Alligator mississippiensis: one gene and its partners. The protein of the gene in region 3 interacts with the protein of the main gene of each other region in a pairwise test. Links are inferred from orthologs where the notes say so. Each region holds a gene or a part of one and is shown on either strand. Other genes may lie near its edges. The genes, in order: RGS17, VWC2L, OTX1 and COMP.

Region 1 (7,495 bases), about 82 Mb from region 3:
TCATCCCTGACGAAACCATCCCAGCCAAGTGTCTGTCTAACCTGCTTTCGAAAATTTCCAGGGATGGAAATTCCACAACTTTTCCAGGTTGCCTGTTCCAATGGTCAACCACCTTCATAATCAGAAAGTTCTTCCTGATCTCCAACCTAAATGTCCTCTGCTGCAGCTTGAGGTTACTTCTCCTAGTTCTGTCCCCTACAGTCACAGAGAAAAGCCCATCTTCATCCTATCCATAATTGTCTTGCACGTATTTGAAGGGTGTTATCAAATCCATCCCCTCGCCCCGGGTCTTCTCTTCTCCGGACTAAATAACCCTAATTCTTATAGCCTTTTCTCATAAATCGTGTATTACAGACCTCTAATCTCTCTCTCTGTTGTTGTTGTTCTTCTGCTCTGCTGAACTCTTTCCAATCTGTCTACATCTTTCTTGAAGTGTGGAGCCCAAAACTGGACACAGTAATCCAGGAGAAGTCTCACCATTACCAAACAGAGTGGAAGAATCACTTCCCTTGATTTACAAGAGATGCTTCTGTTAATACAGTTTGGTACATTATTGGTTGTGGTTTTGTTGTTCCTAGTTTGTTTTTTGAAACAAGAGCACACTGTTGGTTCATACCGAGGTTATGGTGAACTGTAACTCTCAGGTCCTTTTCTGTGGTACTGCAGCCTAACCAATCATTCCTCAGTCTGTATTTGTGTATCTTAGACTTACCTTTCAGAGGATCCACCCAACCCAGTATCATCTGCAAATGTGCCAAGTGTGCACTCAGTCCAGTTGTCCAAATCACAAGTGGAATTTTACCCCATGGTTAGATTGGTATTGACTCCAGGGGGTCTCTACCTGGGATTTCTTGAGTGTATATTGACATTTTATACAAGCATGACATTGGCTGCCATGGTTCTCCTGCTTTACTTGTGGCAGGTTTGCGTGTTAAGTCTATGTTGTGTCAGGGTTGAGGGTAGTTTTATGTAGAGTTTAGATTATGATTATATGGGATGTTTTGGATAGGGATGATCCTGCCTCAGGCATGGGGTTAAGCTACATGATTTATAGAGGTCCCTTCCAGCCCTACTTCTCTAGGACACTATGTTTAATGATATGTGGCCCAGAGTCCTGGGGAACCCCACTTGATACCTTCTCCCAACTAGACATTGAGCCATTGATAGCTACTCATTGGATGCATCTACACATGTCAGTATGGTGACGTTGTTACTGTGCCATGATTTAGTATTTCCAAAAGGAAGTAACAGCCCATACTGCACCGTATGTACAGCGCATGCTTATTTTTAGCAGCTACTTTGCCGTAGCAGCATGCTATACTGGGGGAGCATGTCACTTTGGCAAAGTAGCTGTTGGTCATGTGTAGATACCTGCAGCTGCTACATCACCATAGCACATTGCTACTGTGACATAGTGTCATATGTAGATGCACCCAAAGAATAGAATATTCCAAGAGTGACTTGGATGAGGGCATGGAGAGCATCCTGTCCAAGTTCGCAGATAATACCAAGTTATAGGACAAAGTTAACACACCAGAGGGTAGGGAATGGATCCAGGCAGATCTGGACAGGTTGGAAAAATGGGAAGAATGAAATAGGAAACAGTTCAACAAAGACAAGTGCAAAGTGCTGCACCTGGGCAAAAAGAACCACCAACACTTACAGGCTAGGGGATGACCTTCTCAGCAGCACAGCAGCAGAAAGGGATCTTGGAGTCATAGTTGATTCCAAGATGAACATGAGTCGTTAATGTGACGAAGTGATGAACAAGGCTAACTACACTTTATCATGCATTAACAGGTGCATGACAAACAGGTTCATGGAGGTGATGCTTCCCCACTCTGCGGCACTGGTCAGGCCCCAGTTGGAGGCACTGCATCCAGTTTTGGGTGCCACACTCCAAGAGGGATGCGGAGAATCTTCAGAGGGTTCAGAGGAGAGCCACTCATGTGGTCAGAGGCCTGCAGGCAAGGAGAGACTGAGGGACCTAGATCTCTTCATCCTTCACAAGGGAAGGCTGGGAGGTGACTTTGTGGCTTCCTATAAATTCAGCAGGGGAGGGCAGCAGGGAATAGGAGATACTCTATTTACTAGGGCACCCCCTGGAGTAACTAGGAACAATGGCCACAAATTGCCCGAGAGCAGATTTAGGTTGGACATTAGAAAGAACTTCTTCACAGTAAGGGCTGCCAGAATCTGCAAAGGGGTTCCAAGGGAGGTGGTGCTCTCCTCTACCCTGAGGGTCTTCAAGAAGAGACTGGAGAAGCACCTACCTGGGGTCATCTGACCCCAGTGCTCTTTCTTGCCCAGGGCAGGGGGTTGGACTCAATGACCTACTGGGGTCCCTTCTGACCCTAACACCTATGAATCTATGAAACCAACCAGTTATGGATCCACCTTGCAGAGCATTCACCCAGTCTGCATCTTAGCTGATTCATTAGAATTTTGTACATCAAGGGTTAACTTTGAGGCCATTCCCGTTTGTAGTCATTATGAATGTGTTTACTGAACAAATAAGATGACCACCTTGGAATGTGGTCTATGTGGATGACATGGTCATTTGAGCTGAGAGTCTAGAGGAAGTGCAAGCTGTATTGGACCGATGGAGAGAAGTGCTAGAGGGAACAGAAATGAAGATTAGTCTATCCAAAATGGAATATATGCACTGTGATTTCTCTTAGGTACCTGATATGGGAAATGTGATAACTGATGAAAAACATGTTTGAAAAGTTGACAAGCTCAAGTAGCTGGGGTCAACCATTCAGCAGAATCCAGTTAGATGAAGAGCTGAATCATTGAATAAGGGCAGGGTGGACAAACTGGAAATTGGCAACAGGAATATTATGCAACAGAAGAGTATCAGTGAAGCTGAAGGGGAAAGTCTACAAGACATGTGTATCCAGCACAGAAACATGCCCCCTGAAGAAAGCTCAAGAAATAAGACTGAACATGACAGTATGGGTGAAAGGGATATGGCTTCAATCAATTATTTCTGACAACTGAAGTTGAGGTGGTACACGTGGAGGCCCTTGAGATTTCAGTCATCTGTGCTGCCCTTTTGTTATTTAAAAATGTAGACCAGATTTTCACATCTAGGTATACAACTCAAATACAGGCATTTAAAATTAGGCCCCAACATCCTTATTTAGGCATCTATGCAAACCAACTCTGGTGTCTGAAGTGCAGAGCAATGACTTTCATATGCTTAAGTTCTAATCACTAGGAATCTGTGGCGTCAGTGCCAGGATTCAAGGATAGAGTCCAAATGATTATAACTGTTGTTCTCTGATAATTGGATTTGGGGTTTGGAAAGAAAATACAAGTGATGCCCATGCTTTTAGGAGCATTAACTTTATGGGGCTGTTTCATTTCAGCTGTGGTAGAATCAGAACAGTTTTGGCCTCATTTTCTTGTAGTGCTATACCACCACAATTTATTGGGATCTCAGTTATTCTGGTGGAATAAGAGGTGCGGTGTGGATGTTAAATAGAAGGAAGATATCCAGTCAGCAGCATTCAGGTTCCAAATTAACATTTTTGCACCTTTCTCCTATTATGATGTGTTGAGAGCCAGATTGTTTTGGTTGACTAGTAGAAGCAACATCTGTTGTCTGTTTAGATGCTAGGATTCCTAGAATGGGAGTGGGATTCAACAAAATCCAGAAGCCAAACAAGTGTTTCTCCAAAATGGGTGCACCGAGGCATATCAGAGTCCAGATTTTTAAGGTGCAGTGGGTATAGTAAACATGTGCTCTATTTAGACAGTGGCAGCTGTGAAACTCAGGCAAAATAATTGGCAACATCGTCCAGGCTTCAGAAGCTATCGCCACATGTTTACACTCCTGCTTCAACTAGATGTGTTGCAGTCTGAAGCACCCACACTTCTCTGTGGAGCGTGGGTGGCCAAAACGGTGTCCAGGGGCTGGGTCCAGGTTTGGGCAGCATTTGCACTGAGGTGCATCAAGTTTGGGGCTGTTTTATGTGCGTGCAGCAAAAGCAACAGCTAGCCTTTCTTTCTCTATTTGCACAATGGGGGAGGGACAAAAATAGGTGGCACCCAGGTAGGGCCGAGCCTTTGCCTTTTCCAGTCGGGATGCATTCATCCATGATGCCCGTTTTCCATTTCAAAGACAGAGAGGGCAGCTGTCCTGACTCGCCCCTGGCATCTATTTAAAGAGAGAGGTTGGGAAACATCCCACTGATCCATCACGCATCACACCAGGTGTCTTCAAAAGCCATCCCTGTAATCCAGCCTGGCTCGTGCCCGCCGGATCCCACGGGGCTGGGACCAGCATCGCCCAGGCTGGACCCCTCCCGCCTGCACGGCTCAGCGGGAGCTCCCGGGGGCCGGGGCTGGGGCCGGGCCGTGAGTCACAGCCTGGGGACAAGCGGGGAAACTCCAGCTGCTCGGGGAGGCTCCAGCGCTAGTGGCAGAGCGCATGTGCGCCGCCTGCCTCTCCTCTCCTCTCCTCTCCTCCCTCCTTTCCTCTCTCTCTCTCCCTGCCGGCTGGGTGCTGAAGTTGGGCGGATGGCAGCAACCCAGCTCCGCTAGGACCAGCTGCACCAGCCTTTCCCTGGGATCGCTCCGTGCCAAGCGCGTGCGTCCAGGCGGGGCTGGGTAAGATGGACTGGGGCTGTTTGTTTGGTTTGGGGGGGGGGGGTTCTTTTTGTTTTGGGGGGGGTGGGGGGTGGATTTGAACCTGAACCTTGGGAAATGACACCAAAATGTCTGCTTGCTCCTGGTGCGGGGGGAAAAATAATAAATTAATAAATACAAGAGAGATGGGGAGCGGGGGGAGAGGGTAAGGGATGGAGGGCAGCTGCAGAAGCACTCACAGGGGGGACTGCCTTGGGTGTGTGTGTGTGTAAAAGGGGCAGTGAGCAATGGATCGGCGGCTGAGACTGCAAGTGTGTGTGTGTGTGTGTGTGTGTGTGTGTAAAAGGGGCAGCGAGCAACGGATCGGTGGGTGGGTATGGGGGGGGGGTGTGAGTGTGCCTGTCGCTCCCCTGCACGGATGCACAAAGGGGCTGGGTCCCGCGGCTCTGGCGGCGGCATCCTCCCCGGTGCCCGCGGGTGCTGGCGCTGGCGCTCCGCGGCGCGAGGGATCCCGGCGAGGGGCGGTGATGGCCGGGGGCTGCAATGTTACACCCGCCGGCTGGCACATCCTCAACCAAGGCTGCCTCTCGCCCTCCCGCATGCCCCCACAGCGGCTGCAGGCTTCGTGCTTGGGTCGGGGGGGGCGAGGAAAGCCATCCTGGCTTTCAAACGGCAAGGAGATAAGAGAGATGCCCCTTGCCTTTCCTCCACTGCCTCGCTTCCTTCCCCGCGCAGGGGGCCCGGGCTGCCTCCGGATCGCCCACCCCGGCGCCGGGGATCCGGGGCCGGGCGGGTCCCGGCCCTTCATTGTTAGCATCCAGCCGGCCGCGGCTCGAGCAGGGGGCCGGGAGGGGCCGGATCCGCGCCCCCGCCCCCGCCGGGAAGATGTCGGAGGCTGGCGGAGGCCGGCTGGCCGCCCCCGGCCCGGCTGGCAGGGAGGGAGGCATCCCCGCGAGCTGGGCAGCGGTGCCCGCCTTGCCCGCGGCCAGCGCCCCGCTCCCGGCACCTCCCGGAGCCCGCACTCCGCCTGGCAGGCAGGCGGGTTTCCTCCCAGGGAGGAGCTAGTTTCCCCTCTGATCCCTTCAACCCCGGGTTTCTTTTTTTTGCGAGAAATGCTGACCTCCCCCCTCCCTTGAGACGCAGATGGAAGGTCCTGCCTAGCCACCTTGGGCTCCTGCAGCGCGCCTCCCTCCTAATGCTCTGGCCCAGCTTATTCCAGCACTGGTGTAAGGGCGCTTTAGAGCTCAGAGTTGGGGCGTCCAGGACTTTGGAGGGATAATTCTCCCCCCTCCTCCCCATCCTAAAGAGTGTGGCCCCCATGTGTCACCAGCACAGACCGGTTTATTGAGAAGTATTTAGGTATCCAGCTCCTATTTATGTGCCTAACTCCCAGTGATTTTAATGGGAGTCCTTTGCCTGGACACCTTGTTGAGCCATGTCTAAGATCTTTCTGAGCAATGAAAATGTGGGCAAAAATATAAAATAACCTAAGTGAATATTGTGATTGTATCAGATGCCAACCCAATAGCTCCAGAGATTGTAGAAACAACATTTACGTTTTCATACATCAGTGCATCAGTCTTTACCTTTGATCTTTAGTGACCTCAGAGTTTTTCACTGTCAGGGAAAATGGATGAAACAGAAGAATAGGCTGCACTGGAGGAAAGCTGGGGAAGGGGAGTTAGCGACTGGCTATGGATGTTATAGCTAAGAAAAAAATAACCAGCGCTGTGCAGCTGCACCAAGTGAATTCCCGTGTATTTCCATGAATGCTAATGTTATTATAAGACTTAAGAAATGTTTAGGTGACTTCAATTCTTACCCATTGAAGTAAACAGAGAGGAATTACCCCTAAACACTGGTAAGAAACATCATCTTATATCTTTGAAGGTATTGTTTTGTTGTTGTTGAGATATCCCACCCTATCCAGAAAGACTCAGAGCAGCTTACAGATGAACAACCCAAAAGATAAGAAACAAAAATAAATTCCCCAGTGGACACCCTAAAACTTTAAAACTCTACCCTATACCACCCATACCCATTTCCTGCATATTACTCAGGTGAGCAAATCCTCTGGCCCATTGCAGCCATGCTTCCCAAGACCCATTCTCAATTAGGTGTACAGAAACTTTTTTCTTTTCCTCCCACTCCTTGCCTACCCAGAAGCATAACAAGCAGAGTTGGTGCCCTGGGCAAGCCCTGGGGGAGAGCTGGGGGGGGTCATGTAGTTTCTGAGAGAGGGGGCACAGGTTCAAGAGTGGGGACGTGGTTCGCAGAGCAGTCTTAACCATGCTGGGGACTCTTGGCTGAGCTGCTGCTGCCCCTACCTCCGCTCTTAAAACAGCAGCAGCTGGGAAATTTTTTGGCCCTGGGCAGAAAACAAGCAAGTGAGTGAACTGTGTGGCTGCTCTTGCTTCCAGGACATGGACTCTGCAGGGCTGGGGGTGATTTCTGTGCCTTTCTTAACTTTTTGCCTACTCTCCCACCCCTAGATATAATACTGCCTCCACATGCACATCTGCCCCTACTCCCCTGCCTTACATCCAGGGGAGATACCCTCTCCTTCAATGTTCCTATCAAGTCTACTCCCCCAGTCTATCATTACTTGACCAAATGAATATCCACAATGTGCACGGTACCATGCACACACACAAGAGTGTGCAGGCTCTGCCCCAAAGAGCTTATAATCTAAGTACTAAGTCCAGATCAACAGAGGTATTTAGGTATCTAACTCCTATTTATGTGACTAACTCCCAATGATTTTAATGGGAGTCCTTTGCCTGGACACCTTGTTGAGCCATGTCTAAGATCTTTCTGAGCAATGAAAATGGGAAAAACTATAAAATAAATAATGTAAGTGAATATTGTGATTGTATCAGATGCCAACCCAATTACTGTA
Region 2 (6,892 bases), on a different chromosome or scaffold from region 3:
TGGGTTCACTAAGTGGCTGTGCATACCATCAGACCTGAAACTGCAAACATTGCTCTCTTATTTGGCCTCCTCAAACTCCGATAACTTTGTTTTGAATTTCAGGTCATGTTATAGCCCTTGCAAGCAACGATGGAACTGTTAAGGTTCTGGAACTCAAATCAGGGCAACTTTCCAGCCTGGTGGGTCATGAAGATGATGTGCAGTGTGTTGTTTTTGATCACAAAGCAGAGCACCTGCTTTCCGGAGGTGCTGATGGCACTGTTCGACTCTGGACCTGAGAACTAGAATCCTGTTTTAACATGCTCTTGGTTTCAAAGCCTTATGGAAATGATTTGATGACATGACAGCGACAACTTAGTTAAGTGTCTTCACAGTTAATGTTTGCAGTAGGCATAATTGCACAAAATTATTATAATTGTCTATTTTATCCAAATAAAATCCCAGATTTCTCTGCCTTTGTATTGATAGTGTGTTTTTTTGAACATCAAGAATTTTTCATTTGGTTGTTTCAGGAGAAATAGCTTTACAATGACGCCTAATGACAGACTAGATGAATTGCAAGGAGATTGATTTTTAATGTAACAGAACAAGAGACACAAGAGCTCGGCTACTTTTTTTTTATTCTCTCTTCATCAAATCCAGCCCGTGGCAAGAAGTGAAGTTTTAATAATGCAGCAACATGGGATTTTTTATGCAGCAAACGGTTTGGATGCTGGCAGGGCAAGAATGAACAAGAGTTTGCGAGAGATGCCATGACAGTAATCTTTTGCCTCATCATTCAGTAACTGCAGAGAGCTTAAATCTAAATACTGGCACTTCCTGGAACTTAGCCCTGCAGTCTGATCTGGAGCAGGTTCTCTTAAGAATTAAAATGGGCTGGTGGGAGGGAGGGAGGGAGGATGTGGTCCGATGCATGTGAAATATGTTCAGGTATGGTTAGAAATCGCTTTCCCTCTTAGGATGGTATCCAAGGAAATAAGTGATCCCAAGAGAAGCTCTGGAGGGCTCTTAGTTTCTTTGCCCAAGAGCGGACTGCGAGGAGGCGTGTGTGCCGCCCTGTGATGCATGATGCTGGGCTGGGGCGCTGACCGTGGTGCTGAAGGAATCCCGGCTGCCGGCAGAATGAGCTCCGAGGCAGCGCCTGTCGGGCTGCCGCTGTCCGCGGTGCTGAACGCAAGGGAAAGTTACTCCCGTGCTTGAGATCAGAAATACCCCCGTGGGTTGGGAGAGGTTGTCGAAGCAGCGTATCGTGATGGTGTTGACTGCATTTCAGCCTGAGCTGGCTTTGAGCTTCAGCATGCTCTTGCCGTTTATAGTATCGACAGCGTAGCAAAATAACCAGCCGGCTTGCTGTTGCAAGCACTGAGTGGAAAGGATCAGTTGTGTTTGGGGAAGGGAAATTGCATCCAAAGACCTGAACCAAAAAAAAAAAAAAAAAAAGAATAACTTGGACACGATGATTGTGCTGTTTGGATCTGGATTGTTACAAGGCAGCCTTGCCTCTGGACCTCCTTGTTGCTGCTTGCTTTGAATTCTGAACACTGGCTTAAAGCTTATTTCTCATGTCTTGGCTGCTGAGCTGCCGTTTTCCTGTGTTTTCAAATGGGAGGTGGAGGAAAAAGGATTGTTCGTGATTCATCACTGAAAATGTAATGAAGACGAACAGCTTTTACTGATATATTTCTAACCTTTTAGTCCATGTTGGCCTGTGACCCCCTCCAGCTTTCACCCTGAGCCTGATTTGGTAAGTATGCATAATTCACTGGGGTGGGTGGAGGGGAGGGGGGACCTTTACTCAGAGTAAGACACTATCCAGCATCTCTTTTAATGAGAAATGATAAAAAGTTCAGTTGTAAACTAATTCTGAGCTGTGTAGGGTTTGTTTACTTGTTGAAATCTTTCTGTAGTGTAGATCTGAATTCTGCTCAGTTTCCATTCTGTTCATTAAACTGAGTCTCTGAAGTTGCCAAGGGACATCTGAGATGACCACAGGCTATAACAACATATAACTGACTTATTTTTACTTCTTATAGAACTTGGTTTTATTTGGTGCCTTTCCTTTAAAGTTGGGTAGATTTAGGGAAATGATTGGATAATTTTTGATTACCTTCAATATCAATCTCTTCTATTGGTTCCATTTTTTCTTAAATTTTCACTTACCTAAGCCTGAAAAATTGATGCCTACCTGTAGCTTGTAGGTGAGCAAGTCAACAGTCCCCAGATCCATAATGCAAACTTATCTTTGAGCATCACCCATTTTTTAAACACCCTGTTACAAAAGATATTGTTGGTAGTATCACAGTACATTACCCTTGTGATAAAAAGCTATACAGAACTTTAATTAAGAAAATATCTTTTGATTTTTGATAAAGCTTGTGTAATATCCGGTGTCTCCCTCTGTTGCAGCCTTAGAAAAAAATGCCTTGTCAACAGAATCCCTTAGCTTCTCCTGTATGATTAGAGCTTTCTCCTAATGCATTTGTCTTTGACACTGTTTCTTTAATCAAAATATTGAACATCAGCCAAAAATCTCAATATACAATAAATATTTCTTTTTGGGGAATAAGACAAAATCTGTATTTCTGTATGCATGTGTGCACGTGTGCATGTGTGTGTGTGTATATGTGTGTGTGTATACACGCAGACACACAGACACAGACACACAGACACACACACACACACACACACATACATATATATATATATATATATATATATATATATATATATATAAATATAAAAATGCAGGCACATGTTTATTCTATTTGTTGTTTTTATCAGCCTCCACATACCTCCTTCCTAATAAATACAGCACTAATATTTCATCTGATAAAAAAGTTTCCTTGAAACACTTTTGACTGTATGACAGCCAGTCCATGCCCACTTACCTTATAGCAGGACAGAGACCTTTTTTCCTTCCTGATTCTGAAAGGTATATAGAAAAGAACCAAGAAAGTATACTTAGGGACAAAGATGTGGTAAACAATATAGCTTACTGTGTGCCAGGAAAATATATCCTGAGCCTTTTTTTTTTAACCTGATTATTCTTGGTGTGAATAGCAGTAGTCTTTTCTTCTTTCTCAAAACAGTATCTTGAATACTTAAGAACAATTCTCCATTTCCAAAAGTGTAAGAATTCCATGTAGCTGTATGACATTTTAGAATGAATACTGGCCCTATGCCTTTGAGACAAATATAATAACTGTATGCATGGAACATTTTAAATATTTATCTATGAACACCTATTCAGAATTTTTTTTTAAACTGTTCCCTGAAAATGTCAGTTTCTAAGTAATACTCAATAATGCTTATGGTCCTAGCCCAACTACTTTAGCTCTTTCTGCAGGAATACTATAATTAAAACTATGGCCACCTGTCTCTAAAAATAAACAAAATTCAGCATTGTCTTTCTTATTCAAACCATATGCCTGGCTACAACTCAGATTATTATTGTTGTACTTATTGGTTTTCATGGTTACTTCAGAAGGATAGGAACAATAATAAATCTTTGTTCAAATCCCATTGAGCTAACTTTTCACCATGTGATTTAAGGCAAATAATTCCACTTCCTGTATATCAGACATTTCCAGTTAATACTGTAAACCAGCCTGAATGGAGGTTATCTGTGGATGTATGTGTGTGTTTGTGTGTTTGTGTGTGTTTACACACACAATTATTAGCTTCATTTAGAGATTTCCTGTTCTTTATTCTCCTAAAAATAACTTGAAAGAAGATATTTGTTTAAAATGAAACAGTGTTTCTTATCACTGCGCATTGGAAGCAGTAAGCTTTATCCACAGATACAGATTGAGCACGTGGCCTTACCAAGTATGTATTTGTTAATAATTCAAGTTGTCTTTATTTAAAATATCTATTTTCAGCCCCTGCTTTTTGGTATCCCTATGGAAGCAGCCGTTTATAACTGATAATAGGATCATATGGAGAAGTTGAGGAGGGGGATGGCTCTTCATATTCATGAAGCCTGCATACTTCTGTTATTAATCTCTGGCTTGGTCACCCCTGCTGCTATCAATCATGAAGACTACCCTGCTGATGAAGGGGACCAGACCTCAAGTAATGACAATCTGATCTTTGATGACTACCGAGGGAAAGGCTGTGTGGATGACAGTGGTTTTGTATACAAACTGGGAGAACGTTTTTTCCCAGGGCATTCCAACTGTCCTTGTGTCTGTACTGAGGATGGACCTGTTTGTGATCAACCAGAATGCCCCAAAATCCACCCAAAATGTACTAAAGTGGAACACAATGGATGCTGCCCGGAATGCAAGGAAGTGAAAAACTTTTGTGAATATCATGGAAAAAATTACAAAATCTTGGAGGAATTTAAGGTATGAACAACCTTTGGGAGTTATTTAATACTAGCATGTTATACAAACTGATCGGGGATGAGATTTTCCAAGGTACTCAATATTTGCTTACCTCTGCTCCTCCTTAAGCCAATAGTAAAACTACCAATGGCTTCAATAACAGCAGAGTCAAACCTATACTGAATGCATTTAAATAAAAATCAAATTTGAGCTTGTGCAACAAAAAGTATTGGTGTAGTACTTGAAGGATTACTATTCACAAGCACATCAAAAGTAGGGAGTAACCTAGAATTGCTCTTTGTGATTAAATGGTGATAAACTAAACTTAATAGTGTTGTTTTATGCAGATGACTGTTTAAAATAATAGAAAGTATAAAGTCCAATGATGACTTTAATAGCCAAGTTCCCATTAAGAATATTGAAAATATTCAGTGATCCTTTTGCAATTAAGTTGAAGACTTTCTTTGAAGGACAACCTGTAGCTCTTCATGGGAAAATACCATAGCTATTTATATACCTATATACTTGCCAGCTTATTTTCTCTTCCGGCAATGGAAATAATTCCACATAAGACCTTGTGGTTTCCAAACTTTAAGTAATACAAGTTTATAGATTTTTTTTTCCCAAATAGTGTTTTCTTTTGATTCGTCTTGTAAATAGTATATAATTTAGGTATTTCTTGCATGTGGGGTTCCTCATTCACTCATATCTAACCTCAGTCAGGATATTTAGGAAGCAGTCTCTTTCACAAAATAAATAAAAGTACAGTAGAAACATACCCTTGAAAGATAACCTGATCGTTTTGTCTAACACTGTTTCAGAAGAACATGAGGCTTATGATTCTGAGATATGTTTTCATGTAATGGAACGTTAGTAGCCACCCCCAGAAGAATTTTTCCAGCTTACTAACACAAGTATCACCCTTGAACACAGCATGTTCCAATCTTTGAATGACCCCTTCGCTGATAGGTGGCGGAGGATTCCATCTAATTCCTCGGTCATGATCAAATACATATGCTAACATAACCTAGGACATATTCAGGTTGAGTCTTAGACCATACCCAATACAATGGAAAACTGTTAAGGAGGATCTTTTTATTACAGAGTTTGTACAAATTAAATAAGAAAGGGAAAACTTTCAAAAAAAGTTTTTTATCTTTATTCACTGAAAAGATTAATCAGTATTTTACAAGCAATAACACTAGGAGTACTTTTTCAGGCTGGTATTTTGGGATTTAGCCAAAAAAACACCCTTCATTTAAAATGAATAAGATTAATTTAATTTCCTGTTTTGCTAAAACCTCAGATGAACCTTTCATGAGGGGTTTCTTACTAGAACCTTTCATGAGGCCTTTTTTTTAGATAGAGCAGTTGATAAAAAGAAGAGTTCCAGCACCATTGTAATGATTTCCTAGCGAAGGAAAAGCACATCAGATTGTGGAACATCTCAACCTTAAATAATCCTCAGCCAGGTACATCCATAAAAAGACCCCAGATTTAATTTAAATCACAATCAAGCCTTTAATCTGGAGCCTTTAATCAAGCCTTTAATCTGGGCATACACCATGTGGAGTAGAGTGGAACATGTTTATAAGAACGTTATGGTGAAACTCTGTCCATATTGAAATAGAGAAGTCCTAGAATAAATTTTAGAGTTATATTCTACTCATAGTGCAATATCATGTGTGTATATACATATATATGCATAGATATGTATGCAGAAACAGAGAGAAAGGGAGAGACTCTGGGAGCAGACAGTTTCCAAAGTTCTGTAACTGAGAGCCTGGAGAGAGAAGTGCTGAACCTGGGAAATTTCTGATTTATAGACTGAAATCCCAATGCACTGAAGTCAGTGGTTGTTTGCTGCTTAAATGGAGCAAGGATATCATCCGTTATGTCCACAGCAGAATACCTAGAGCTCATAAGTTTTGCAGCCTCCTAGCCTTCTTCTGTTTCCTGTGAAATTTATAATATCTTCAGGCTTTCTCAAGTTAGTGTCATTTATAGTCAAGCTGTGCCAGAGATGGAAGACTTTCTCAAGTCCTCCTTCCTCTTCAAAAACTGGCTGATTGTAATTACACTAGATTCACCATTTTGTGGGGACTTATACAATTGAACCCTTCATCTTTCACATGAACTGTTCCATTGCTGTTTACATTTTTTAAAAGCTAATTTCCAGTATCATCTTCTCTAGAGATACTGATCTCTGCATAGTCACATATGACATCAGCTGAGGAATTAGTTGGAGGTCTTAAAGTATGATTCTTATATGGGGATATGTGTATGTGTTCTTCATTAGCTTCACCAAATGTTACATGCATGATTTGTGCCCAAAGTAGACTTATATCCTGAAAAGTTTTGGGACAACTTAAGAAGATAGTTGGAACAGTAAAATGGATTATAATTGTGGAAGGTTTGGGATTTTAATCATTTTCCTAACTTATTTTTAGCCCACTGTGGGCACATCTACATATGCTGCTGTGGCACCATTGTTACTGCATTGTCATTTAGTACTTCCTTTTGAAAGTACTAAAAAATGGCACAGTAACAGCCCATACTGTGCC
Region 3 (7,651 bases):
CCAGATCCTCAACCCGAATGGTGCTTTCACATCTAGCTCTAAGAAGGGTATCCCAGATTGGAGTTCCTTTGGCAAATTAGCCCTGCCTAGAGACTCCAAGGTGTAAGGTAGTGTCTTGACTACGTCGCCTGAACAGAAAATGGACAGTAATAATTGTGCCTTGTGTTTGTTTCAGGGCTGAGGAAGAAGATGAACATTTGGAAAGGACTCTTGAACAAAACAAAGGCAAGATGGCCAAGAAAGAAGAGAAATGTGTCCTTCAGTGACTGGCCTTCTTGGAGCAGATGCAGTTGCATTTTGCAGTCGAGCCCTTTCTTACATTTTTAAAATACTGACACAAGACTGAAAAGAAAAAACAATGTTTTGAAAAATTTTAAACTTTTTCCATTTGGTTAGGCCAGCTCTATAACTGCATTGTTTTTTGAGTTTGGGGTTGGTTTGTTTTTGTTTTTTGGGGGGGTGGGGGGTGGAGGGGTTTGGTGGGTGGGTGGGTTTCCATTTGAGCAAACTAGCTTTGTACCATGTTTTACTTGTGAGCTTAGTCATATTGTTGAAATTCTGTTCCATAGATTTGCACAGAAACATTGTTGTGATGGTAATATCAGAGATGTCTTGGGGGGTGGTGGGGGTAGGGGGGGAAGTCTATCATGATTTCTTTACTGGAGAAGGAATGAGATTTGAAATAAGTAAGTTTTTGTCATAATAGGATTATAGAGGGGGGAAACAAAATAAAAATCACGCTAAATGGTTTCATCTAGTCCTGCCATACGTAATATTTAATAAGCTACCTACATTTTTATAGTTAGGTCCGATTCAATCCAGTTATTAAAATGTGCTATATTTACCAGTGTTTTATTTCAGCAGCAGTTTCACATTTTATTGTTAAGTGTAACCTAAATTGAGACTGTCTGATTTGCTCAGAGACCGGTTCTTTACATGCAGTTTGCAAAAAAAACAAAACAACAACAAAAAAAAAGCTTTGTGCTCTGGAGATGTGCTGCGCAGCGGGGGCAACTGAAGTGCGTCAGTTTACAGAAATTTTCTTTCATTAAAGGCTACGCAATTTTTTTTTGTTTTAATAATTATTTATTACAGTTTCGTTCCCTTCTCCGTTTTGGATCTCTGCATGGGGTCCAGAATGCTGTTAATATTTATTCTGTACCCACCAAAGTCTGTCTCGCCCTTGTGTGCAAATCCCTTCCCACTTCAAGTCCCCCTCTCTAGCCTCGTGCTCTTTTTCTTTTCTTTTTTTTCTTTTTTTGGTGAAAACTGTTACCTGTTTATTTATTACAATACTGAGTCATATATAAATTTTCAATAAAAGCCGAATCTTTCTTACCGTAACGGCTGCTTCCCTGTCTTTTACAGCAGGAAAAGTTCCTTACCTCGGCTGGCTGGGGGGGAGGTGGGGGGAGCTTCTCGGAGTCTTAAAAGTGAATGTAAAAAAAACCGAGGTGGTCTCCACACGGAAGAGCCGGCGCGGCAGCTCCGAGCCGGCAGCAGCCATCCCGCAGCCTGTTTCTTTCCTAAAACTTGCCCGGGTGCCGCCTGGTCCCAGTCCTGCCCGTGCGGCGGGCCGGGCCCTACCCTGGGCACCAGAGGCAGTGGCCGGTCCTGGCCTCAAGTCCGAGCTGCCGCGCGGGGGCCAAAGGGGCAACTCGGCTCTCGCTGCCCGGCCCCGCGCTCTGCCCCAGCCCGCAGCCGCGGGAGGGCTGCGGGGCGGCCCCGGCCCCGGCTCAACGCGCCTCAGTGGCGGCGCGAAGAGGCCCGGAGCAGGGGCAGGGGCCCGACGGCGGCGGGGCTGGCGCGGGGGCCGAGCCGCGGAGCCAGCAGAGGTGGTGGGAGCCTTACCTGCGCGCGGGGCGGGGGCGCGGGGCCGCGCTGGCCCTGCCCCGACGGGGCCTCCCCGCGCTCCGCCGCCGGCGAGCCTGGGCCCGGCGACACGCTCCTGCGAGCAAAGCAAGCGGCGGGAGGGGAGCGGAGGGGCTGGGGGCGCTGTGCTACCTGATCCCTCCGGGCTGGCCAGGGCGCGGGGCAGCGGCCCGGGGGGCCCCGGCCCCCTCCCGCCCTCACAGCGCCCCCGGGGCTCGGGCCGCGCCGCCGCCTCAGTCCTTCACTTTTTGTGAATGGGCCGCGGCGCCTTTGTGCGGAGGAGCCCGCGCACCATAGACTGGCCTGCCCCCCCCCCGCGGCTTTTGATGCGCGGCCCCCGCCGCCCGCAGGGACAGGGGGCCGCGGGGCCGCACCATTAGCTCGCTTTCAGCGCCGCTTCCCCCGGGACCAGCCGGCTCGGGGACGGCAACAAAAGCCCCGCGCCCGCCGGGGCCCGGGGAGAGGAAGAGCTGCGGGCCCTGGACGGGGTTGTCCCCTCCCGTCCCCCGCGGGCTCCTGTCCCCTGCCCGCCTCACAGCGGCAGCGCGGCCGTGACAGGCCTGGACGTGACCGCACGAGAGGGACGGGGCAGGGCAGGACAGGGCGGGCGGGCAGGCGGCCGTGGGGCAGGGGAAGCCCAAGCGCCGCTAACGAAATCCAGCGGGTGGCGGGGCCCGGGGCGGCGGGCCGGGGTGCAGGGCCCCCGCCACCCCTGGCCCTCGGGCAGGGCTAGGGGGCCGCCCGCCAAACCCGCAGCCCCGACGGCGCGGACGGCTGCTCCCTGCGGGGCCGCACGCGGGGGTGCGGGACGAGCCCTGGGGCTGCTGCCAAGTGGCTGGAAGTTGTCCCGGCACCAGGTGGGCTCGGGCCGGGAAAGTCCTGCTCCCGCCCCCCGGCCGCCCCGCCCCGCCCCGTCCCACCTCCCGCCGCGCCGGGGCCGCCCCGGGGGAGCCGCGGGAGTGGGCGCGCTGGCGGGCCGGGCCGGGCCGCGCCGGCCGGGGTGGAGCAGCAGCAGGAGCAGGAGCCGGAGCAGGAGCAGGAGAGGGAGCGGGGGGGTGCGGAGGAGCCCGCGCCCCGCGCTGCCATTGCCCGGGCGGCTGTCAGTCAGAGCGGGGCGGCCGGGGATTGGCGCCGGGGCGGTTACGCACTCGCCTGCGCTCACATACAAGGCAAGGGCGGTGGAAAGGTGATCAATCTTCATCAGGCTACGTTCCGGGCGCCCCGCGCCCCGCGCCGCCGCCTCCCGCCCGCCGCCGCCTCCAGGTAAGGCGCTGGCTCCGTGCCGGCCTCGACGGGGCCCCCGCACCGCGCGCCCACGCCGAGCCCGCCGCTATCCCGCGCGCTGCTTCCCCTGCAGGGCCCGCGCCCCGCGCAGGTAAGGGAGGACGGGACGGGCCGGGCCGGGACCCGGCGGGGCGGCCGCGGGCCCCCGGGCGGGGCGGGGCGGCGGCTTTCGTTGTGGTTGCTTTTGCCCCCCGCCGCACAGGACTTTGCGAGCGGCGGGAGAGGCGGGTCCGGGGCCCCACGCCGCCCCCGCGTCCCGCCCGCCCGAGCCGCTTGCATAACCCGCACCTGCGTGTGCCCCGGCCCGACCCGGTGCGGCCGCTGCCTCGGGGCGCGGGCGGCCCCGCCAGGCTGCCCCCACCCCCGTGGGCGGCCCGGGCCACTTGGCGGCGCGGGCGCGGGCCGTGCAGAGCAGAGCGGCGGGCGGCGAGCGGGGGCCGCGGGACCCGCCGAGCAGCAGGTGAGCGGGGCCGGGGCCCGACGGGTGGGCGAACTGGCGGCCCGCTCGACTCCCCGCTGCCCGCCTGCGGGCCTGCCTGGCCTGCCCCCGACGGGCGGGACGGACGGGCCCCTTGGCAGGACAGGCACCGCCGGGCCCGGCCTGGCGCCTCGCAGGAGGCCCGGACACTTGGGGGAAACTTTCCGTCCCTCCCCGAGCCCCGCGGCCGCAGCCTCCAGGCCGCGCTGCCTCCCCGGCCTGGCGCCGGGCCTCTACCCGCGCCGGGCCCCCGCCGCCTCCTTGTACGGGCCTGGGCCCCGCATCCGCGCACCCCTCTGCGCAAGCTCACGGGCACCCGCACTTGCACACGCACGCATTTGTGACAAGCGTAAACTTTCTGCCTCTCTCTCACACACTTGACAAGCCCCGGCGGAGTTATCCTAGGGGTGTCCCCGTGGGGACACGGCTCCCTCCAGCTCCAGCTCCAGCCAGGAGGAGCCCTGGACTGAGCAGCAGGGAAGGGCGCTCCCCCCCCCCCCCCCGACACGCACACACGCACATCCTTACATAGGCACGCACACACGGGTAGGTACACACACATACAGGTAGGTATATACACGTAGGTAGGTAATTTCTCTCTCTCTCTGTTTCTCTCCCGCTGACGAGCCCGAACTCCCTGTCGAGTTGTCTCTCCTCGCAAGGTCTCTGCGAGTGCAACTCCGGTCAGGTCTCGGCAGTAGGGAAACGACTCCCCCAGCACACACACACGCCCTGACACGCGCACACACCTTGACACACACGCACTCTCCCTCGCTCCCTCCCTCCCTCCCGCGGGCAAGCCCAAACTCTGGCGGCGGAGCTCTCGCAGCGCGGTGCGGGCTCAGCCCTCGCTGCGCTCGGCCGTCGGGACGGGCTCCCGCAGCGCCCCGCGCCCGGCCAGCACCGCCCCGCTCGGCACAGCCGGGCGCTGCCCCGCGCGCCCCTCGCCGCCCGATGCCGGTCCGTGCATGCGTGTGTGTGTGTCCCCGCAGCTGGCGCGGAGCCGCCCGGAGCCGAGCCGAGCCGAGCCGAGCCGAGCCGAGCCCGCCCCGTCGCCACCCGAGCCGCGGGGCCGCCGCCAGCCTCTAGCATGATGTCTTACCTCAAACAGCCCCCGTACGGCATGAACGGGCTGGGGCTGGCGGGGCCCGCCATGGACCTGCTGCACCCCTCCGTGGGCTACCCCGGTGAGCGGCGCGGGGGCTGGGGCTGGGGCGGGCGCTGGGGCCGCGCCGTAGGGGCCCACCGCCCCGGGCCCGCCTCTGACCTCCGTGTGTGTCCCCGGCCCGCAGCCACCCCGCGGAAGCAGCGGCGGGAGCGCACCACCTTCACCCGCTCGCAGCTGGACGTGCTGGAGGCGCTTTTCGCCAAGACCCGCTACCCGGACATCTTCATGCGCGAGGAGGTGGCGCTCAAGATCAACCTGCCCGAGTCCCGCGTCCAGGTGTGCTGCGGGGCGGGCGCGGGCTGCGGCCCCCGGGAAGGGCCGCGACGTGCGGGGCTCTGCCGCCTGGGCCCCGCCTTCGCCGGGAGCGCAGCATCCCCTGGCAGCCGGGCCGGAGCCGCCCCACCTCTGAGGCACGGCAGGGCAGTGCGGCGTGCGGGGCCGACCAGGCTGCCTGTGGCGCATCCTGCCTGCCTGGCACGGGCCTTCGTGCTCCTGCCTGGCGGGCCTGTGTGGTAGTAGCCACTGCAGCCTCTGCGCAGGCCTCCCCCATGCCCCTTCCCCTGGCAGCCGCGAGCACTCCCTGGGCACCCTTCTTCCAGGGCGGGAGTGAAGCAGCTTTGTGACCAGCACCCTCTCGGCTGGGGGCTGCAAGAGCCGGGTGCGGTGGGGGCAGAGGGCCTATGCTGCGGGAGAGGAGGGTGGGATTTCCTCTGCCAGGGCAGCAGGAGCTGGATGGGTAGCAAAGCTGGGTGCTGTGCTGGGGCAGTAGCTGTGGGGCCAGTTTCCCTTTTCCTCCTTTGGAGAAGGGAGAGCTAGGGTGAAGGGTGCTGCTTTAGATGCTGGAAGCTGGGTGCTGATCTCTCCGTGGTTCCTCCCTGCCATGGGTGCTGTGCTGAGCACACCAGGCCCCTCTTCCTAGAGGGGTATTTCAGGAAAAGGGGAAGTAGCTTGGCATGACTGTTCCTGGGGAGAGCCAGCTGGGTGCTGTAGTGAGGACAAGCCGGGAGCAGGTGCGGGGCTGGGTGAGCGTAGGGTGCTGTAGCATGGAGCGGGTGAGGGGCCAGGGCCGTGTGGGCACAGGGCTGGCCCGCTGCTGGAGTGGCGGGGGAAACTGGGCGCAGGATCCCCTGTTCCCGGAAAGACTGCAGTGGGCTCAGCGTGGTGCCCTGTGCTAAGGCTTTTGGCATGTCTTGTGGGCTGGGGGCCCAGTGCCCTGCTGGAGGATGGGGCTGTGTGCCTAGCAGGCCTGTTCTTCCAGGCCAGGGTGGGCCTGGTGCAGAGCAGAGCTTTGCTGGAAGGGGCACGGAGGGGCAGAGGAGCTGAAAGGTGGTGGGCCTGTCGGGGCCGGGTAGCAGCCGACAGACGTGCAGCGGGGGGCTGCCCAGGGCGGCGGCCACTTTCTGCTGGCAGGAGCGCGCGTACGGAGGGGAGTGCTTGTGGGGGGCACCGGCCTTCATGCCTGGTGCCACGAGGCCCGGGGGAACAGGGTGCTGGGAGCCGGCAGGGTTGGCACGACAGCGGAGGCTGGGGTGTGCGGGCTGGGTGCGGGTGGTGACGGCTGGGCGTGGGTGCTGCCCGGGGCCGAGCCGAGCTGACGCGCGCTCCCCGCAGGTGTGGTTCAAGAACCGGCGGGCCAAGTGCCGGCAGCAGCAGCAGAGCGGCGGCGGCGCCAAGGCCCGGCCGGCCAAGAAGAAGTCGTCGCCGGCGCGGGAGAGCTCGGGCTCGGAGAGCAGCGGCCAGTTCACGCCGCCCGCCGCCTCCAGCTCCGCCTCGTCCTCCTCGTCCAGCTCCAACTCCTCGGGCCCCGCGGCGGCGGCGGCGGCGCTGGGCAACCCGGCGGCGGCGGCGCTGAGCACGCCCGCCTCGTCCATCTGGAGCCCGGCGTCCATCTCCCCGGGCGCGGCGCCCTCGGCCGTGGCCGTGTCGGTGCCGGAGCCGCTGCCGCCCAGCAGCGCCTCGTGCATGCAGCGCTCCGTGCCCGGCGCCTCGTCCGCCTCCTACCCCATGTCGTACGGCCAGGGCGGCGGCTACGGGCAGGGCTACCCCGCGCCGCCCTCCTCCTCCTACTTCGGCGGCGTGGATTGCAGCTCCTACCTGGCGCCCATGCACTCGCACCACCACCCGCACCAACTCAGCCCCATGGGCCCATCCTCCATGCCCGGCCACCACCACCACCCGCTGAGCCAGAGCTCGGGCCACCACCACCACCACCACCACCACCACCACCAGGGCTACGGCAGCGCGGGGCTGGCCTTCAACTCCTCCGACTGCCTGGACTACAAGGAGCCCGGCGCCGCCGCCGCCTCCTGGAAACTCAACTTCAACTCCCCCGACTGCCTGGACTACAAGGACCAGGCGTCCTGGCGCTTCCAGGTGCTGTAGGGCCCCGGCCTCCGCCCGCCCGGCCCCGCGCCGCCCTGCCCCGCACCGACTCTTATTTATTGGCCCCGCGGCGGGGCGGCCCCGCGCGCTGGACGGCAGGGGCTGGGCGCGGGCCCCGGACTGCGGACCAGGCGCCGAGGCGGAGCGGGCCCCCCCCTCCCGGGGACGGGGCCAAGGGGAAAAGGAAAGGCAAAACCACACAAACGAAAAACAAAACAAAAAAAAATCAAAACGAAAAAAGGCAAAAAAAAAAGATAAAATAAAAGCAAAGCCGGCCCGCCAGTCCCGTGCCCGCGGGCCCCGTTGTCTAGTGCGTTTAGTGATGCCCCCGTGCCGCCGCCCCGCCCCGCCCCGCTTCTGTGTCCCCGGTCCCCGTCCCCCGCCCCCTCCCCCGGCGGGAACAGGCCTCCGTGCGCGGGGCGCGGGCATGTGCGGCCTCCCCTCCCCTCCCCTCCCCTCCCCTCCCC
Region 4 (7,804 bases), on a different chromosome or scaffold from region 3:
CGGCACTGCTCTCTCTGCTGAGAGAAAGTACCTGAAAGAGTCTCTAAACAGAAGTTTCTCCTGAGAGGAGAAGTTATTTTCCAAATCAATGATAAGAATAACATGGAAATTTTGTTCTCAATTTCTTCAAAAAGGCACTGCCTGTGCCAGTAGCTAGCAGTCCCTGGTAGCTGATGCATACACGGGCAAAAGCGTATTCACCTCCTGCCCTTCTGCTTAGGAGTTAGACAGCATGTTTAAAGCTGTGGAAAGGGAAACAGCTGCAAAACTCAATAGGTAAAATCCCAGGCCCATTGCTGGAAAAGAGTCCACTTCAGACTATGGGACTTGACTCTACCGGGTTGGACTAGATGACCTCTTCCAGCCCTACTTCTCCGTGATTACTACCGGGAATAATACCCATTCCAGCGCTGCCTGACTTAGCTGCAAGACAGGGTCGTATGCTGTCCCAGCACCAGCATTTGGGGATTTTTTAAGTAGCCAGAAGCATGTGCTAGGCCTCCAAGAAACAAAGAACATAAAATCTCTGTTTACAGGGATAAAGCAAGCGAGTCCAAACAGACAAGAAGGGGCGAAGAGGAAGGACAATGATAAAAGACAGTTTCAGCAGGATGTACAAAACCTTACACAACGAACACCTGAGCCGTATACAGCTAGACTGCACGGTGTGCTGTCAGCATTTCAGGCCGTGTGCTTTTAGAAGACTCACGTAGACAGGAAGCACGGCACCCTTTCCATCTGTTACCTTACCTTAGAGTACAAGCGCTTTTCTAAATGCCTGTCCACCCTCAGTGTCTTACGGGGCAGTGCATTTCAGAGTTCCCCGCTTTACAGACGGGAAAAGTGAGGCACAGAGTCCGAGTAACATGCCCATGATCACGTAAGAGATCTGGAGGCGCAAGAAACCAAACCCGAGTCTCCCACACTCCAGACTACAGCCCTATCCGGCTAGCCTCTGCCAAGCAGTTTTTCAACCAGTTGAGCATATTAGCAGTTGAGTTGAGCCGTGTCCCTCCTCTACAGTAGACTTTAAAAAACTTGTCAGTGGGCATATCAGCTAATGTGCCAAAAGCAGCTATTTTAAATCTCTGCCTGGAGAGGGCCCTGAAGAACATGAAAGGGAGAAGAGGAAGTAGGTGGTGAGAAACAGAGGTAAGACAGCTGCAGTTAGAAGATCAGGAGTGTAGCAGTGTGTGCAGAAAGGCTGATTTACATACAGGCTTTAGAAAAGGGCCGCATCAGCTGACCTGTGAAGAAAGAAACTGTATGGCCATCACTTTTGCACCACTGACCCCTTATTCCCTTGCTAGTGGGACACTAGTCGACTTCAACGCCTTTCAAAGTGCTCAGCTTAATGCCTGCCACAGGAAGAAAGCCCTCATGTGGGAAAGTGCCATTTCCTACACGGTCGCAAGTTGGGTCTGCTAACATGCACAAGTCTGGACAGATATGTACCGAAACTGCAAAGACAAAGCAAACGTGGTCTGAGATACACTATGGTTTATACTGCCTACAGAACAGCGAAAAAATATAGTCTTGGTAAAAAAAAAAAAGTGCTTTTCTTCATGCTTGTTTTGCCAGTTTTGAAAACTATTCAGCAGCTTGTTGATAAAACTCCAAAATAAGATCTTCCCTTGAGTGGGGGTAGATGATCCTCGCTACCTCAATATCTTCTTTACGTGTTCCTTTCAAAACAGGAAAATGCCTTTAGTGTTAATCCCGAGGCAGAGACTTTTAACACTGGTACGGCACTCAACCAGGAAAATCACGAGGCAGCGCCGCCAGATGTGAGCAAACCACCAAAGAAAATGTAGAAGTGGCGTGACAGCTCCTAGAAACTTATGACAGGACGATACACGGTACAAGCACGGTGCCCGCGTATGCTATGAAACTATGTCTATACACACAGGACAACACAACCCGGTTACACTCGCAGGCCTGGCACACGCGGGGTTTTGATGAGATCAAACCTGTGTACCGCTTGGAAAAAAAGTTTATTTTTTGCCCTACCAGACAAGCCGTCCTGTCACCGTGCGTGCTTTTCTGGCACCCGGGTTTGAATGCACGGATTTGACATCCAAATAAACGCACAAGAAAAAGACACAAAGGTGAACTGAGAAATCCCTGTCAAGACCCGAGTTCAGGGGCCTGGGTTTCTGCTACCGACACCAACAACTGCAGCTAAAACCAACGCAGGGACCTGCACTCCCACTTCTGCCTTTGATGCATTGGCAGCAGGAGCACAGTCCGAGCAAGAACGCAACCCAAAATGAAACGTACTTCACCTGCTAGAGCCGATTCTGGGCTTTACCAGCATTGCGATTCACTTTTAAAACTTGCATTTCAATGTCCCCACGGTTTGCAAACAGCTCGCTGCAGGGCAGCAGGACCCCACACGCACACGGGGATGGGCGGCCTGGATAAGACGCTGCGGCCCCGACGTATGAAACCGCCGTTTTTCTTTCTAATGCAATTTTCCAAGCGTCCGAGCCGCGCCGCCGAGGCAGCTGCGATCCTCAACGATTATATTTCCTTCTGCGGTGGTCCGACCCCAACTCAAATCCTCCCTCCTCTTCCTTCCCCAGCCCAGGCCGAAGCCCCAGGTAGCAGCAGACCCGCCGCGCCCCGGGGAAGAACATCACTCACGTTCCCGACTGACGTTGGGCCCTAAAGTCTCCCTTACTCACCTTTGACTCCTTCCCCACCTGTCCCTTTACCTTTTCTTTCCCTAATTCCTACCTATGTACGCGCTCTCACGGACGCTTTTAGCCTCTTCCGCTCCTCGAAGACGATCGCGCGCCGCGCAGACTCCCTACGCCGGACGAAGGGGGCTGCGCCCGCACGCTCGCAAAGACCTTTCCCCCCCCAGCTATTTCGCTGGTTTAATAAGAGAGCGGGGGAACGCGGTCCGGAGCCGTTTCCCGCTCCGTGGAAGACGGACGCTTGGTTTATATTGTCTTTGAAGGAACGAAGCTGCGGCGCGGTGTAGTTCTTGCCACAATAGTTTCTGCGTCTGCCCAAGGAACCGGCCCAGGCTGACACGCGAGCTGCTGCCCCGGCTTCTGGGGTCGGCGCTTTGGGGGTGCCGAGTCGTGCGTTTGGTGACACTTCTCGCCCGCTCGCCCGCCGGCGCTGGGCCGGCCCCAGCCCCACGGCTGCACTTCCCCGCCGCCCGCCGCCACGTGCTTGGGGAGAGGGATCCCCCGGCTCACCTGCGCCTCGATGGGCCCCGGCGGGCCCTGCCCCACGCCGGCCGCGCCCGGGCCCTGCCCCGGCCCCGGCTGCCCCGGCCCGGGCGGCGTCTGCGTCTGGCTGGGGAGGGTGAAGTCGGTGAACTCGAACTCGGAGCCCTGCGTGTCGGCGCCGAGCAGCTCGGCCTCCTCCGTGTCCAGGAAGGTGAGCGTCTGCGAGCTGGGGCCGTACGCCTCCACGCTCATGGCGGCGGCCGGCCGGGCCGGGCCGGGGCCCGCACCGCACCGCACCGCACCGCACCGCACCGCACAGCACCGCACGCCGCGCTTGGGCCCCGGGAGGCGGAGGCGGAGGGAGGCGGAGGCGGCGGGAACGGGAACAGGAACAGGCCGCGCGCGAGCCCCGCGACAAGGAGCCAACGGCCGCCGCGCGCCCGAGCCCAACCGTGCGGCCGCCGCGCGCCAGGCCCCGCCGTGACGACACACGCACGCCAGCGCCGACGCGGCGCGCCACGTACGCCGCGCCCGTGACGTAGCACGCACACCTGCGGGGGGAGGGCGGGGTCTAAGGCTCGCTGAGGGGAGGGGGGAGAAGCGCCGTTTGTCATTGCCCCTCAGTGAGGTGAAGGGAGGGAGGGGGTCTGTTATTGCCCCCTCAGTGACATGAAAGGAGGGAGGGGGTCTGTTATTGCCCCCTCAGTGGGGTGAAGGGAGGGAGGGGGTCTGTTATTGCTCCCTCAGTGACTGGGGGGGTCTGTTATTGCCCCCTCAGTGACATGAAAGGAGGGAGGGGGTCTGTTATTGCCCCCTCAGTGGGGTGAAGGGAGGGAGGGGGTCTGTTATTGCTCCCTCAGTGACTGGGGGGGTCTGTTATTGCCCCCTCAGTGGGGTGAAGGGAGGGAGGGGGGTCTGTTATTGCCCCCTCAGTGACTGGGGGGGTCTGTTATTGCCCCCTCAGTGGGGTGAAGGGAGGGAGGGGGTCTGTTATTGCCCCCTCAGTGACTGGGGGTCTGTTATTGCCCCCTCAGTGACATGAAAGGAGGGAGGGGGTCTGTTATTGCCCCCTCAGTGGGGTGAAGGGAGGGAGGGGGGTCTGTTATTGCCCCCTCAGTGACTGGGGGGGTCTGTTATTGCCCCCTCAGTGGGGTGAAGGGAGGGAGGGGGTCTGTTATTGCCCCCTCAGTGACTGGGGGGTCTGTTATTGCCCCCTCAGTGGGGTGAAGGGAGGGAGGGGGTCTGTTATTGCCCCGTCAGTAACTTGGGGGGGGTGTTATTGCCCCCTCAGTGATTGGGGGGGTCTGTTATTGCCCCCTCAGTGAGGTGAAGGGAGGGAGGGGGTCTGTTATTGCCCCTCAGTGACTGGGGGGGGGGGTCTTCCGGTGCCCCCCAGCGAGGGCTGTGTCCCTGCAGGGGTGGGGCGGGCAGGCGGGGCTCCCGTGGCAGTAGCACTGCGCAGAGGTGTGAGCCCCGGCCCTGTGGGGACAGGCGGGGGGTCCTGGGAGTTAACCTGCATCAGAGGAGACGGGGCACAGCCATGCGAGCGTCGCAGGGGACGGGACGGGACGGGACGGGACAGGGCGAGTGGGTTGCACCCGGGGCATGAGAGCAGCGTCCGACTGAGGTGTGTCCGAGAGCCCCGAGCGCGGCTGTGAGACCTCCAGTGCCGGTTGGTGAGCGTTCGCCGGGGATGGTGCAGACAGGCCCAGACGATCCCAAACGGCGCCAGGTGGCCCTTGAGAGCTCTTCCAGCCTTATTTTTCAGTGGTTTGTGGTTATCAGGCTGTCGCTAGAGAAGAAATCTCTGTACCTGTTTCCTTTAGGACAGGGTTCTTAACCTTTTTAGACTCAACCCACCCCCGTTAGACTCAAAGCCGCCCTCGGATAATGCTAGCTTAGTTCTCGCTCCTTTTTTGACTGCAATTTTTCCGTTGCAAAGAACTCCAGAAGATGGCAACAGGTGAGAGTGTTTTTAGCGCTATGGACTCCTATTTGGATTGTCTGGGTTTATCATGAGAGTCGTGTTTGCACACCTAACAGTACTAGCATTGTGTGGCACCCTTGAAAGGATCTCGGAGCACCCCAGGGTGCCATTGTACCCTGGTTGAGACTCACTGCTGCAGGGGTGCAAGATTTTCCACCTTCCCTTTCTTATCAAGACTTTGTATCCAGAGTGGATGAATGCTGTATCCGTGCATTGGCTGCCTACCTGCCCTTGTTTGCAATAGACTGATCACATCCCCGTGTCCAGGTTACATGTCAAAAGCCACCTTGCCCACTTGACGTGGGGTCCAAATGGCTAGAGCAGGACACTGGGATTGAGGGCTCCCTGAATCTGTTCCCACATCACTAGGAGAGTGTGGTGTAGTGGTTAACCAGGAGTTTGGGAAGTACAACTCCTGGGTTAATTTCCTCTTTTCCTCCCTCAGTTTCTTATCTGTAAATTAGAAATAAAAATACCCATTTCACACTAAAATGTAAAGATTAATTAATCATTGTAAATCATTTTGAGACATATGGGGATTGAGGAGTATCAAGTACTAATTGGAAATTTGGCTGTGATTGAGAATGATCAAGTTTTGTTACTGTTTACTGTGCTATTTGCACATTTGGCAAACAGTTGCACAAGAGGGTCTGTAACTGGATATGCTGTAGAAATTGAGCTCTCTGCTCATCTTCAGAAATGGTCCTGCCAGGTCCAAGCTGAGGGACATTTGAGAAGATGCATGGGAATTCTGTGAAGACACGGAGGACTTTGGTTTTGGGTGTTTTCATCCCATTGCCTTTTACTAGTTCAAAATTCAGAGCTGTTCTAAACTAACTTCTTCAAGTTGGTTGTGGCAAAATGAAATGGAAAGCTGGAGATGGTCATTCTCCCCCCCCCCCCCCAAAAAAAAAAAAAAAAGTGATTTCACAGCTACTGAAGATGGGTATATATTTCCTTCAACACATAGCCTTTATTTTGTCCCTGTTTTCCCTGTAGAATGAATCCCAGGAACAGACGCGCAGGCATGCAACGGTCCACTAGAAGCATTGATGTAGAATGGAAAATTGCACCTTCTATTTTCTGAAGCTTCCTCCTCGTTGGACTATCCTATACCAATCATATGTAGAAAAAAAAAAGTAGAGAAGCTGAGAGGGCTAATATTTCTATATACACATTGTTTGATTTCACCTTTAGTTCTGAGTGCCCTTGAAGAAGCGGAGTATGCTCTAGGCCTAATGTAAAATTGTCCACATTTACAGTTGTGACCTAGTAGCTAGCACCTTGCCCTCCACTATGGGCAGTTCTTGGTCTTCCTAACTAGCTTTCCAGGACTGTGATCCACATATAAATATGTAAATGTTCCTTGAATAGACAAATCTATCTGGTTGATGATAAAAGAACTGCCCCTTAATCCAGTTTTATCAAGTGATATTATTTAGCATCTAAGGGCAACTTGGGGCCTATTTACCAGTGAGCCATGAGAGGAATCGGCTAAACCTGGAACCTTAAATTGGAGAAAACTTGCTTATGAATTATATATCCCTTAATACCCCTTTATACAGTCTTGTCACTGACTTCTTTAATGAAGGGGAGGATTAATAAGGAGTTCTTAAATCTGCCAGTTATCCAAGGGAATCCCCACTCGTGGAAACAGAGCCGGAACACTAAAGTAGGTTAGTGAAGTGAACCATTAAGGGCAAGAATGGAAAGCTGACTGTGATCACAGCCCCTGCCGCTATCCTGTGCCAGGGCACAAGTCTAAGTCATTCCACAGAGCTTCCACAGCTCAACAGTAGTTACAGCCCACCTGAATTAATCTGCAAGTGTTTGTGTGATAAATAGAAAATCAAGTGAAGAGTTATTTTCAGTTATCCTCAAAGGTATCTTCTTTTGTCTTAATATTCTCATTATTTTTAGTGTCCCATGGAAAAAAACCTTATAAAATGAGATCATTGGGTCCAGTGTCACGGTACTTTCTGTTTTGTTGGCTGTCATGAAAGAGTTCTTGGGAAGGAGACTCCCCGGCCCTGAGCCTTACACCGCTTCTCTAAAATTTACAGTTTCCCTATTCTGCAAAAGCAAGGAACAAATCAATCTTGATCTGTGTATCAGTAATAGTAGGAGGATAATTATCTGGGTCCTCAGAGTCCTCCTATCTTATAACCATCTCAGTCACGAAGCTCTGGATGATGTTAGCAAGAATGAAACATGAAAGCTCAGTCATAAACTTTGAAGCATCTTCACTGAAGACAGGTTTGTGGAAGACTGCATACATATGTGGGCCCAAGGATGGTGCAAGTCGGTGACATCTGAGCAGGTAGGTAAAACTGATCTATGAAAATGTGTCTCAGCCAGTTTAGAGCTGTGAACAAAAGTCCTGCTCTCTGTGGAGCCAACTCTAGGCTTATCATAAGGAACTTTCCCACCACGTTGACCTTGTGTTGTTGGGTTTTTTTGTTTTTAAGGATTTTATTCTGGTGAAAGGCATGAGTCCAAGAGCAGTAAAAGAATGAAACACCATGTATCCACAACATGCAGAACATGGGCAGTTGCAAGTGCAGGCTTCTTCCATGCTCTCTCCTTGGAATGCACCTCAGCTGCTTTCTGAAGAAAGCCCCTTTACATCTGA

What was found.
Region 1: the proteins of OTX1 (region 3) and RGS17 interact in binary tests that used the Homo sapiens proteins (3 or more experiments, as listed by UniProt). The two-hybrid records come from large-scale screens. The link is inferred for Alligator mississippiensis from reciprocal best matches to the Homo sapiens genes OTX1 and RGS17.
Region 2: the proteins of OTX1 (region 3) and VWC2L interact in binary tests that used the Homo sapiens proteins (3 or more experiments, as listed by UniProt). The two-hybrid records come from large-scale screens. The link is inferred for Alligator mississippiensis from reciprocal best matches to the Homo sapiens genes OTX1 and VWC2L.
Region 4: the proteins of OTX1 (region 3) and COMP interact in binary tests that used the Homo sapiens proteins (3 or more experiments, as listed by UniProt). The two-hybrid records come from large-scale screens. The link is inferred for Alligator mississippiensis from reciprocal best matches to the Homo sapiens genes OTX1 and COMP.

Annotation. Positions count from the first base shown.
Region 1 is NC_081824.1:131,938,360-131,945,854, reverse strand, and holds the start of RGS17 (regulator of G-protein signaling 17), read left to right. Parts: upstream 1-4,484; 5' UTR 4,485-4,617; intron 4,618-7,495. UniProt on the Homo sapiens protein: Regulates G protein-coupled receptor signaling cascades, including signaling via muscarinic acetylcholine receptor CHRM2 and dopamine receptor DRD2.
Region 2 is NC_081827.1:180,462,042-180,468,933, forward strand, and holds the start of VWC2L (von Willebrand factor C domain-containing protein 2-like), read left to right. Parts: upstream 1-3,887; 5' UTR 3,888-3,938; coding exon 3,939-4,349; intron 4,350-6,892.
Region 3 is NC_081824.1:213,439,592-213,447,242, forward strand, and holds the start of OTX1 (homeobox protein OTX1), read left to right. Parts: upstream 1-4,640; 5' UTR 4,641-4,724; coding exon 4,725-4,821; intron 4,822-4,926; coding exon 4,927-5,078; intron 5,079-6,413; coding exon 6,414-7,184; 3' UTR 7,185-7,651. Other genes in the region: EHBP1 (EH domain-binding protein 1), read left to right, coding at 176-266. UniProt on the Homo sapiens protein: Probably plays a role in the development of the brain and the sense organs. Can bind to the BCD target sequence (BTS): 5'-TCTAATCCC-3'.
Region 4 is NC_081839.1:1,283,346-1,291,149, reverse strand, and holds the start of COMP (cartilage oligomeric matrix protein), read left to right. Parts: upstream 1-4,795; 5' UTR 4,796-5,148; intron 5,149-6,171; 5' UTR 6,172-7,492; intron 7,493-7,640; 5' UTR 7,641-7,804. Other genes in the region: UPF1 (regulator of nonsense transcripts 1), read right to left, coding at 3,213-3,437. UniProt on the Homo sapiens protein: Plays a role in the structural integrity of cartilage via its interaction with other extracellular matrix proteins such as the collagens and fibronectin.